Arabidopsis thaliana: one gene and its partner. The protein of the gene in region 2 interacts with the protein of the main gene of each other region in a pairwise test. Each region holds a gene or a part of one and is shown on either strand. Other genes may lie near its edges.

Evidence for each region. Proteins that work in one complex are often made in the same cells at the same time.
Region 1: the proteins of OASB (region 2) and HL interact in a two-hybrid assay, tested with the Arabidopsis thaliana proteins (one large-scale study listed by BioGRID).

The regions. Positions count from the first base shown.
Region 1 is NC_003076.8:22,083,855-22,088,943, reverse strand, and holds HL (HAL2-like protein), read right to left. Parts: upstream 2,947-5,089; 5' UTR 2,812-2,946; coding exon 2,658-2,811; intron 2,394-2,657; coding exon 1,730-2,393; intron 1,662-1,729; coding exon 1,358-1,661; 3' UTR 1,304-1,357; intron 1,204-1,303; 3' UTR 850-1,203; downstream 1-849. UniProt on the Arabidopsis thaliana protein: Phosphatase that converts adenosine 3'-phosphate 5'-phosphosulfate (PAPS) to adenosine 5'-phosphosulfate (APS) and 3'-phosphoadenosine 5'-phosphate (3'-PAP) to AMP. May regulate the flux of sulfur in the sulfur-activation pathway by converting PAPS to APS.
Region 2 is NC_003071.7:18,128,823-18,134,935, forward strand, and holds OASB (O-acetylserine (thiol) lyase B), read right to left. Parts: upstream 3,817-6,113; 5' UTR 3,501-3,816; coding exon 3,258-3,500; intron 3,072-3,257; coding exon 2,962-3,071; intron 2,875-2,961; coding exon 2,817-2,874; intron 2,714-2,816; coding exon 2,450-2,713; intron 2,180-2,449; coding exon 2,042-2,179; intron 1,910-2,041; coding exon 1,858-1,909; intron 1,773-1,857; coding exon 1,693-1,772; intron 1,586-1,692; coding exon 1,526-1,585; intron 1,398-1,525; coding exon 1,317-1,397; intron 1,020-1,316; exon of another isoform or gene 875-1,019; coding exon 782-874; 3' UTR 613-781; downstream 1-612. Other genes in the region: AT2G43745 (jacalin lectin-like protein), read right to left, coding at 37-69, 156-533; AT2G43760 (molybdopterin biosynthesis MoaE family protein), read left to right, coding at 4,454-5,050; AT2G43770 (Transducin/WD40 repeat-like superfamily protein), read right to left, coding at 5,450-6,113. UniProt on the Arabidopsis thaliana protein: Acts as a major cysteine synthase.

The DNA of each region.
Region 1 (5,089 bases), on a different chromosome or scaffold from region 2:
CTCAGTTTAATATTTTGGATATGTTTACTTCAACTAGATAATAGAATTTGGCAGACAAATGTTCATATGAAAGTTTTACTATTTTTGTTGACCAAAAAAAAAGAGAGAAAAGGTTTAAGTATTTTAATTTTTTAACATTATAGGTACTGTATATGAGACTCTTTTTTTGACATAGGTAAACTGTATTGATTATGACTTATGAGACTATCCTTGTCATTTGCTTCTTTGTGATATTTTCTTACCAATTGTTACTTTACCTAATCTTTTATCACATTTTATGTAGCTATGTATTAATAATATTCAACAAAATACAAGTATACGAAATAAATATAAAAAAAAAAAAAAAAAATTGAAAAATTGAATTCATAAGAAAGAGATGTTTATCAACTAACCATTCATGCATCATTACTGACACTTTGGCCGTCCTCTATTAGTAGTAGAATTTAATTATTACTAGTAATTATGTACGTATAAAGATGAAGACACATAATTGTGACTGATAATGATAAATTCTTCAATAAATGTATGGAAAAGCCTATTTGAAGGTTGGAATTCGATAAAATTGAAGAGGGAAATCTTTTAAATAGCACCAAATCTAAGAAATTGTCGGCAGAATCAAACTTTTTACTTTTAATCTTTAGACTAACACAAAACTAACTAAGCTATTCTCATTAGGGTGCCAAACATGTCGGCTAAACCGGAGTTCAAGGCATTTTAATTCGGTCTGATTTAATAATATTTTCGTATCAATAAAAATCTATTGAGTCCTCTTTAAAATGGTCATCGAGTCGGCCCAATAAACAAAATTTATTAGCCCAAAACTGGACCAATATTATCGGCAATTTCTAGTTGAATCTTTAAATTTGAGAGACAATTTGGGTCGTTAACCATTGAAATAGCATGGAGTAAGTTAGAGCCTATTCAGTAATTTACTAATTTTTGTCTTTTGTCAGGAAAACGACATGTATAATCCGCGTTTTGAAGGTGAATTATTACAGGACGAAGATTAAAAATGATATCATCCATTAAAGATCATAGAACATAAGGGTTCGTGAAATGCAGCAGCTTTATTACTCTTAGATAGGTAAATAAACTAGATTCTTACTTTTACCGCTGCTTCCTCGACTATATTTACTTCTCCGCCATTCACATTCATTGAAACTGGCCCTTGCTCATCCTAAACCGTAATGGCCCTTGTTCCTCCTAAACCGGAACAAATAAACCGATTAAAAACCACTAGCTTATGCAGTAATCTACAAATATGATTACAATCTTGAAGAGGACAATTTGTTATCTTCTTTACCTTTGCTTTGGCTCGATGATGCTGCACCAAACTACGGATTGTGGATAAGCTTTTTCAGAGACTGGAAGATTCCCAACTAGCATAAACAGCACCTATAATCTTCTCATGTAAAACTTGACCAGAACATGCGATGATTCCACGGTCAAGACCTTCCAAGTAAACACCTTTCGAGAAGTCTAAGTTTCTCCCTCCCGCATCAGTCACCACACCACCAGCTTCTTCCACAATAACAACTCCAGCTGCGTGATCCCATATCTTCTCTTTGTAACTTGACTGTGCAAACTTCATAAACACTTCAGCGTCTCCACGTGCAATCGCTGCATATTTCACCATGCTATACACTCGCATAGGCTGCTTTCTGCAGAGCAAAAAACTTTTGGTCAATAACGTAACATTTGAATAAGAGAGTGAATAAACAACATTTACCTAACTCCCATGCTATTGGCAAGTCCTGCAGTGAACAAGTGGTTTGAGTTTGCTCTCTCTACTGGCTCACAAACTGTAGCTAAAACCGGATCATCAACTGAAGAAACCTTAAGAAGTGTTGCAGATTCTGGTATTCCTCCAACGATCAAAGGTTGCATCCAAGCTTGACCACTACCTCTCTTTGCATACATAACACATCCTTTCGATACTGAACCAGCAACAGCTTTCGTCTTCATAGCTTGGTTACAACCATTACTTAAACATTCTTTCTTAACCGGATAATTAGGACATCCTAGTACACCCAAAAGAACTTTACCATTCTCTATCAAAGCTAAAGCAACAGCATACTGATCCCCACGAACAAACCCTAACGTTCCATCAACAGGATCAAGAACCCAATGCCTTCCTTTAGGTCCTCCAACAGAGTTACATCTACTAATAGCCTTAAGAATTTCACTAGACCCCAATGGCTTAACTGGCTTCGGAAGCCCGTAGTTCTGAGCTTCGGACAATGCTTCATTAACCGCATTCGACACAGCTCCTAAAAGACCTAAAGAATCAGCCTCAGAGAGTGTCTCAGTGTCTTCTTCAGCAACAATTGAAAGGTTTTGATCACCAAACACTTCAGCTAAAACCCAGCTCACAATTGCTTGTACACCAAAATCTGTCAAGTGAATCAACAAAAGTTTAAAACTTTGATACACTATTGAACTACTAATACAGAGAATCATTGGAAGTGATGAAAAGTTGCAAACTTTTGTATTTTAATACACATTTTGTTTCATCTATCAACGAATTAAAGAACATGATTATTCGATTACACAATCCAACATCAAAAATTCGTTTTTTTTTTATTTAACACAAACAGATCTCAAAATTACAATTAGAAAAAAACAGAACACAAAACAGAGAAACAGAGAAATCGAACCAGCGACGGTGACAGGGGAATCATCGTCTTTAGACTTAACGTGACCACCGTTAGGAAGATGAAGCTTCTCTTGAACTTTAACACAGAGAGAAGAAGCGAGGTGGACAACACGCACCGCCGTGTCAATCTCCGTTTCTAAGGAGTCCACCGCCATCGCCGGCGAAATCTATCGGAGGAGAAAGGAAGAGGAAGAGAAAGAGATATCAAAAAGCTTCACGCTTTTTATTCACATGCTCTCTCTCCACTGCTTCTTCTCCTCTCCTTTTTTTTTCTTTCTTTCTTTTAATACAAAATCATAATTATTATTTTAATTTTACTTTTTATGCTCTTTTTGGTGGCTCTGTCACATTTTCTTAAAGTGGTTATAGTTAAATTATTTATTCCCTGGATTAAAAAATAAAATAAAATAAAACAACAACACACTTTTCTCCTTAATAACAACTTTTTGTGAAAATTAATAATAAATAAATATATAAAAGTTAATAACAACGTTGATTTTCAAAAGTATTTCAAACTAGAAAAATAATTATTTTCTTTGTTGTAGTATAACAACGTTAATGTTTTTGTAAGAATACATTTTCTTTTTCTCCTTCCTAATTTTTTTTTTCTTTTGCAACGTTATGCTAATTTGTGTATTAAGAAATGTGATTCACTACTTGATATCATACAAAATTAAGGTATCAATTTCGACGCTTTTCTAATAAAACGATATTGGAAGATAATATTTTTGGTATGTTATTGTTAGTGAGTATTTTCTTGAAGCAACCAAAAATTGAAAACTAAATAATTCTTTTTAATACAATAAAAACAATATTCACGTTTGACAAATAGAAAAAGAAAATGAATAATCGTATATACTTTACGACAAAATCGTAACGTGTGGATGGTGAGTGGGTTTTGTACTTTGTAGACTTGTAGTTAGGTGAATTAGGGAACACGTGCGGAAGAAGAAAAAAAAGGTCGAAACAAAAAGTTGTCTTTATAAAAATTCTCGCATTCTCGTTTTTCAGCTAATAAAAAAATTACTCATACTTTTAATTTTCGTATTCTTCTGATATTTTCTCTACAAATCTATATGATTTAAGTTATAGCAATTTGGGGAAAAACTAAACGCATAGACGGTTTCTTTTTTTTTCTATTCACTTTGGTATAATAATCTTAGGGGAATAAATGAAATTATATAGATGAAGAGGTCAAATGAATATAGACCGTAAAGAAGGGACTATGCATGGTGGTCGTGCATGTGGACAGAAAGCTCCTGTGTTTGCTGTATAACTAATTAATTGAATATAATCTATTTAATTAATATAGCATTAGGATTAAATTATGTTAATAGGCTGTGAATAATAAACAATAGTACAAACTTGTTAAACCGTCCAAGACTCCAAGTAAGTGAGCCCAATATGATAATATATTTAGTTGGGCTATAGGAAAATTTATATAGCCTTTGAAGCCTATATGAAATCCCATTAATGCTTCAGATCTTAGGAAAATTAACAAGATGTTTAAGAAAATTAGTTTACACATTGAATGATGGAAACTCTCCAGAACTGTTGCTTTTTTTTTTTTTTTTTTTTTTCATATAGGCCCGATCCATAATAGGTGCTGACCATTGTATGTTTTCAACACGGATGATGAGAGACTGAGCCATATGTGCTACAACTTATGCGTATAGCAGTCTCCTAAGTCCCAAAATCTCCCTCAAACTCTATCCATGAATCATGATAAGCCACTGAAATCAGTTGTGGACTTACGCTGGTTAATAACATAGAGGCATATTAAAACCTCTTATCAGGAGCTGGATGAGACTGTTTTTATTCTAAAGCAAAGTAAAGAAAAAACTTAAATTGTGTAACCAAGCTCTCAAATGATTCTTAATTTGATTTCATATAAGGTATTGGAGGAGAATGTTTTTTGAGGCAACTTTACATGTTAACATCATTGTTCATCTATGTATTTCTTACTAAAAATCTTAATTATATGGATTAATTGACTTCTAATGAGATATCATTTTGGACTTCTTAGGATCCTTTGATACTTGGTAAGTTAGTATCTATGTAGACAATTATTAGTAGAGAAATGCAAACTAACAACACGAATTGATTAAGATAATTCCAAGTTGTTCGTTGATTACATCTAATTCAGTAAGGAAGTTAATCAAGTTGATTTTGGATCTGATGATATGTGATAGATAATACAAGAAGAAATGGTTGGGACCTAAAAAGAAAAGATGATTATAGTCAAAGAAAAGAGTCGTTAGACATATAAATTTCTTCATTTTTTTGGTTTCATATTTTTCGTCTTATTATTTACCAAAACAAGAAAGACAGAAAAAGGCTAAAGAACGAAACGCGTCTCTCGGCTGGATTCACGGCGTCGACGTGATTGACGGTCTCGTCGTGACCAACGTTTTTCATTTCATTTCTGTAAGT
Region 2 (6,113 bases):
GATCCCTCCACCATGCTTTCTTAGTACTCCACTTAATCAAGTTACATATTCGTCTTGATTCAGTCTCAACTGCGTTTAAACTTCATCAAAAACAAAACTTGACCGGATCTTACGCAAACGCAAAAATAAATAATTGTTATTGACACAAAACTTACAACACGAAAGTTGGAGCCCTCCTCAATGCCACCATGCTGTTTAGACAGGACTAGAGCTCCATTCTCCAAAAAACCAAACTGAATAGACATTATGACTTCGTCGAAAGCAACATATATGTGAGAGATCTTGCGTCCCTCGTAATCCCAACTATCGTCACCCATCACCTCTTCTCCAACACCGTCGTCCCAATAAGTATACTCACATGTCGATTTTTTTCCCACTGATCCTGCTCTTATCATCGCTATATAAGAAGCAGGCACAGAGTACAATAGTTTTAAGTGGAAGGAGAGATATAGATAGGCGAAAGGACGATTATATAGGAGACTGTCTTGTCCAAAACTCGAAGAGTCGTCATAACTTTCATTTATGGATTCCATTGGGAGAAAGCTAAACAAGTTTCCAGGTACATTAAACAAAACGCTCGAAAATTGTGCTCAAGAAGAAGACTCTTCGTTTGACCAAAACCTCTTATGCCTTTATTAATAACAAACACCAAATTGCGTTGCGAATTGTAAATATACACAGTAGACGTAGAGATTTCTGCAGAAACGTCTATTAGAAGAAAAACAATCAGCAATAAATCAAAGAAGAGGTTCCTTGTTGGTCACGAAATTACAGAAGAAAATCAAAGCTCGGGCTGCATTTGCTCGCACTCTTCTCGAATCGACTGGAAAAGCTGGGTCGAGAGGTAACGTTCCCCGAAGCTCGGGAACACAACCTGAAAACCAAGATTCAGCAACTCACATATCAAACTATACATATGATGAATCTGTTATATTTTTTACTCCATACTAAGCTAAAATCCTTTCACTGATTCCCTACGTTGGGCTATAGTAATTGAATAATAAGCTCCTCTCTTGTTCTTTGCAATGACTAGGGTTTGGTGTGGCAGAGAGATTAAGCTCCTCTCTTGTTCTTTGCAATGACTAGGGTTTGGTGTGGCAGAGAGATTAAGGCAACGTAAACGTTCATTAGACGTATAAACCAAACCAACTACTCAAATACAAATGTTAAAATAAGTAGTAAGACTCTAAAAGGACCAAGGTTCATGATTAGATAACTTAAGAACTCTTTTTCTATATCATTCAGTGGTTGGTCACAGATACAAGACTAGGTTTTGGTCCATAAAGAAATTATGATGAAGAACATTGAGGACTTACGGCTATGAGTTTCCCGGCATTTTCAGGTCTCTTTGCAACCTGGATTGCAGCAGCAGCAGCAGCTCCAGAAGATATACCAACCTGAAAAGGTTATAGTCGTTTACTAATCGTCATAGATTTCTCATATGCATTTACATTCGTTTTCTATCTTTTATAAAGAGTGTTCCCACTAACAAATAAGTCAAACAGAATAACAAATATAGACTAACCAACAAGCCTTCCTGGAGAGCTAGTTGCTTCGAGGTTTCAATAGCTTCCTCACTGGAAATCTGATAAGAAGCAACAAAACAGGTGAAGTTAAAAAGGAAAATTGTTGCTTGCTGAAAGTGAAAAAGATGAATGTATAGTTATAGAGAACCAAACCAACAGATCATACCGCTATGTATTCATCTACAATAGCCAGATCCAAATTCTTGGGTACAAATCCAGCTCCAATTCCTTGAATCTTGTGAGGTCCTGCATTTCAAATACATGTCAAATAAACGCAAGATAAAAAGAATAACGTGCCAGAGAAACAAGAAAAACAAAATCACTGCCTTACCGGGTTTTCCACCAGAAAGTATAGCACTTTCCGTGGGTTCGACACCAATAACCTGGTACAAGTAAACATCAACTAATTAAATATAACTACAAGTACAAGTAAACATCAACTAAATCTAATTACGGAGGTTATAACATCTACAGTTGATTCCAGCTGATATGCTACAAGCCCTCTTGCTATGTACCTTCAATTCAGGTTTTCTTTCTTTAATGAATCGACCAACACCAGTGATAGTTCCACCAGTTCCAATCCCCGCAACCAATATATCGATTTTGCCTCTTGTATCTTCCCAAATCTCAGGACCAGTCGTCTCATAATGAATCTGCATTTAATCTTATATCAAAACACTAACAAATACTTGCAGCTTTTACCAATGGAACCAGTGAATCCCAGATATAATCGTGATGATTCAAAACTGTATACCATAGAAACTCTACAACAATCCAAAAGGAAGTGCGGAAGAATTTCACTATCATCTCTAATGAACCCTTTCACACACCACCTCTTACTACTGTACAAGGCCAGAAGTAATCGTAGCTCATAATTCATGTCACAGTTAGAGAGTATGATGAAACAAGAAGTAATTACAGACCTTGGGATTGGCAGGGTTGTCAAACTGTTGGAGCATGTAGGAATTGGGAGTTTTTTTCAAGATTTCTTCAGCCTTCTGAATTGCTCCAGTCATACCTTTTGCAGGTTCAGTTAACACAAGCTCAGCTCCAAATGCCCTCAAAAGAACCCGCCTTTCCAAACTCATGGACGCAGGCATCGTCAAGATAAGTTTATAGCCTTTTGAAGCAGCAATGAATGCAAGGCCAATCCCTGTGTTCCCACTCGTAGATTCCACAAGAACACTCTAAAACATTTGCAGCAAGAAAACAAAATCAGAGGGCTTGACAGTTGACACTCAATACAGAATCATTCAACAACAATAAAAGGTCAAATCCATAATCAAATACCTTTCCAGGTGTTATAAGTCCTTTCTCTTCAGCATCAGTAATCATACTGTACCCAATCCTGAAATCACCACAACAACACAAGCTCAGAATGTATAAATGTGAAAGATAGCAAAACCAAAATCAAATTATATTTGGATACACAAACCTATCCTTGACACTGCAACATGGTTCCATGATCTCAAGCTTAGCAGCAACACTTGCAACACAGCCCTTGACTACATTGTTCAAGTACACCATCGGAGTTTTCCCAATAAGCTGAATCAATTCATAACATTCAGAAAGAATATAAAAAAATTAGAAACGAAATCAAAATTCAAAGAAGTCAAATTTACAAGACTAATAATACTCAGTTAGTTTATATCTTCCCCTAAATTGACAAAATTGATCACCAATTTAGATTTCCTCTGTCTCTATCCAAATGCAAACGAAACACAATCTAACCTGAGCGGCGTTATCGGCGATATTGAGCCCTTCAACACCAGCTTCTGGCTTGATAGATACAGCCTTGCACACAACATCACTCCGGCTCTGTCTCTTGAGCGTGAAAGCAGCTGAGGAAACATCGAAAGCAGCAGCCTTTCGAGAGGATAAGGAGAGAGAAGAGAGCTCTGGCGAGTATTTGAAAGGACGGTGGCGAGAAGTCAACGGATTAAGGAGAAAAGCAGAGGAAGATGTCGCCGCCATGACTTGCTCTTTTGCTTCAGTGTATCTTCCTCACTTTCCGAATATTGTACACAGAGAGAAGTAGAGAGAGACTAGAGATGCGGTTTAAACTTGAAGACACTGACTGATTAGATGATCGCACTGTAGCTGCAAAACGACGTCGCTGTTTAATTTCTAAATAAAAAAATCATTTTGGCATCTTCTTTCTACAAGATTTATCCTTTTTCCTTGAATGGTAAAACAGAGTATCTGGAGAAAAGAAGAGACTTTGAAATTGAATTAGTAAAGTTTTGTTTTTTACAATCTCACCAACCTACTAGTCTGATCCAACAAGAAGGTGAATATAGAGCACATGTTCTTCTTCATCATGCAGCCCTACCAAACTCTCAAAGGTCAGATAAAATCTTTCTGGATCTCTTTTTGTTCTTTGCCTTCTTTTAATTTCTGGGTAGCTGTTAAAGTTATTACAAACTTTTAGTGTAGTAAGGTACTGAAAGAGACGATTCTTCTTTGTCGTTATCTCTGTCTTTCTATGATTCTATCCATTCGATCCTCAATCTTACAAAAACTCGAACTTTGGTCAGTTTTGTAGACGAGTTTTGTGCCTTTGCTGTTTTTGTCTGATTCAATAAAAATTGACCGATTTGGCAAATTCTTAATCCGATTTGAGACATCGTTTTTTGAGTTTGTTCATTGGTCCACTATTCTCCTACTTTGTTGATTTGACTCTTCCATTTCTGGATTAGTAAGATGTGATTGCCATTAGATTGCGCAAGAAAGGTTCCTCATTTGCTCTGTTTGCCTTTGACTAAACAAATTGTCTGTTTGATTAGTTTTGGATGATAGGTGATGAGATAGTCATGGTTGTTTATTTCCTCCAATTGCAGGTTAGAATTTGCTATCGGATCATCTGCTAAGCTTGGTTTACTCTTCCTAGAACATCGATTGTATCGAGGTTTACTATTGGATCAAAGATGTCTGCAGAGGAGAAGAACCTTATAGAGATCTTGGAGGAAGGTCACAAAGTCGATGTTGTTAAGTACATTGATTATGTCAGTGCCCCTCAAGCTGGTGCTATTGCGACATTCTCAGGCACTACAAGAGACATGTTCGAGGGCAAGACAGTGTTGGAGTTAAGGTATGAAGCATATGTGCCAATGGCCACACGATGCCTCAGCTCGATCTGTACAACTGCTAGATCAACTTGGGATATCCACAAGATTGCTGTTGCTCACCGTCTTGGACCAGTTCCTGTTGGAGAAACTAGCGTGCTCATTGCGGTCTCATCTGTTCACCGTGCAGATGGTTTAGATGCTTGCAAGTTCTTGATCGACGAGTTGAAGGCATCGGTTCCGATATGGAAGAAAGAGGTTTACACTAATGGAGAGATTTGGAAGGAGAATTCTGAGTTTATGGAGAAAAGATTGGAGCTTGCAGAGAAAAGAGACAGCATTGTAAAAAAAACTGTGGTTGAAGAACATAGAAGAAGAGGTTGCTGTGGAAGCAAAGTTAGAGTAGAAGAAGATGAAGAGCATAAAGATATTACAGGAGATAACAAATCTTCTTCTTGATCACTTGTAGCAGTAACACTGTTTCGCTTTTTACTTTCAATAGACAAACTTTCTTAAGCACATTGTTGAATCTAAAGACTTATATGCGTTAGTTGGTTACTGGACTGGGCTTATACTTGCTACTGCTTGAATCTGTAAGAATCTAATCGAAGATACTGCAAGATTGTAATACCAAAGATAACAATTTTAAGGAGAACTAAAATGATGACCTCATCTGTTAAAGTAGAAGAAGATAAAGAGCGTAATGAAGATATTACAGGAGATAACAAATCTTGATTACTTGTACCAAAGAGCAATGTTTCGTTTTTTCTTTCAATAAACAAAATGTCTCAAAGCACATCGTCGATTCTAAAGACTTCAATTCCACTTAGAGTTGCAAAGGTTTCACAGCTTTGAAATTCAGATCTCTCCCAAGTAGATATTTTTATCACTACTGCAAGATCCAATGATAGGCTCGGTTGGGTGGAAAACACACTCATTGACAGAACCGGTATGGCCTGGGAGCTTATATATAGTGCGCCGACTGGTTGTGTCCCAGATATGAACCATACGGTCTGAGCTACCGGCAGTAACTTTTGTACCATCAGGTGACCATGAACATTTCAGCAGGTTCTTCTCAAAGTTGTGTTGATGCCCCTCAAAGATCTTTACACATCGGTTTTGTGGAGCATAAGGACGCATGTCCCACACACAGAGCTTGTTGTCCATTCCATTAGTGAGAAGGTAGGAACCGTCTGGGCTTAAGCTCATACCTGTGATTGTATCTTGATGGCCCTCAAGTGTCATGGTGGCTTCACCTTTTCTCAAGTCCCAAACCTTAACATCATTGTCTACACCACCAGTGAAAATCTTATCAGCTGCATCTGAGAAACTGACTGCAGTGATTTGGTATTTATCAGGAAATGTTTGTATGGCTCCTCTTTGACGCATGTCCCAAAGCTTGGCAGTTCCATCATCAGATCCACTGATGATAAGAGGTGGCCCTCTACGTGTAGGACAGCAAGAATTCACAAACGATGAATGTTCAGCCATCTTCTTGATTTGTTTCCCAGTCTCAACATCC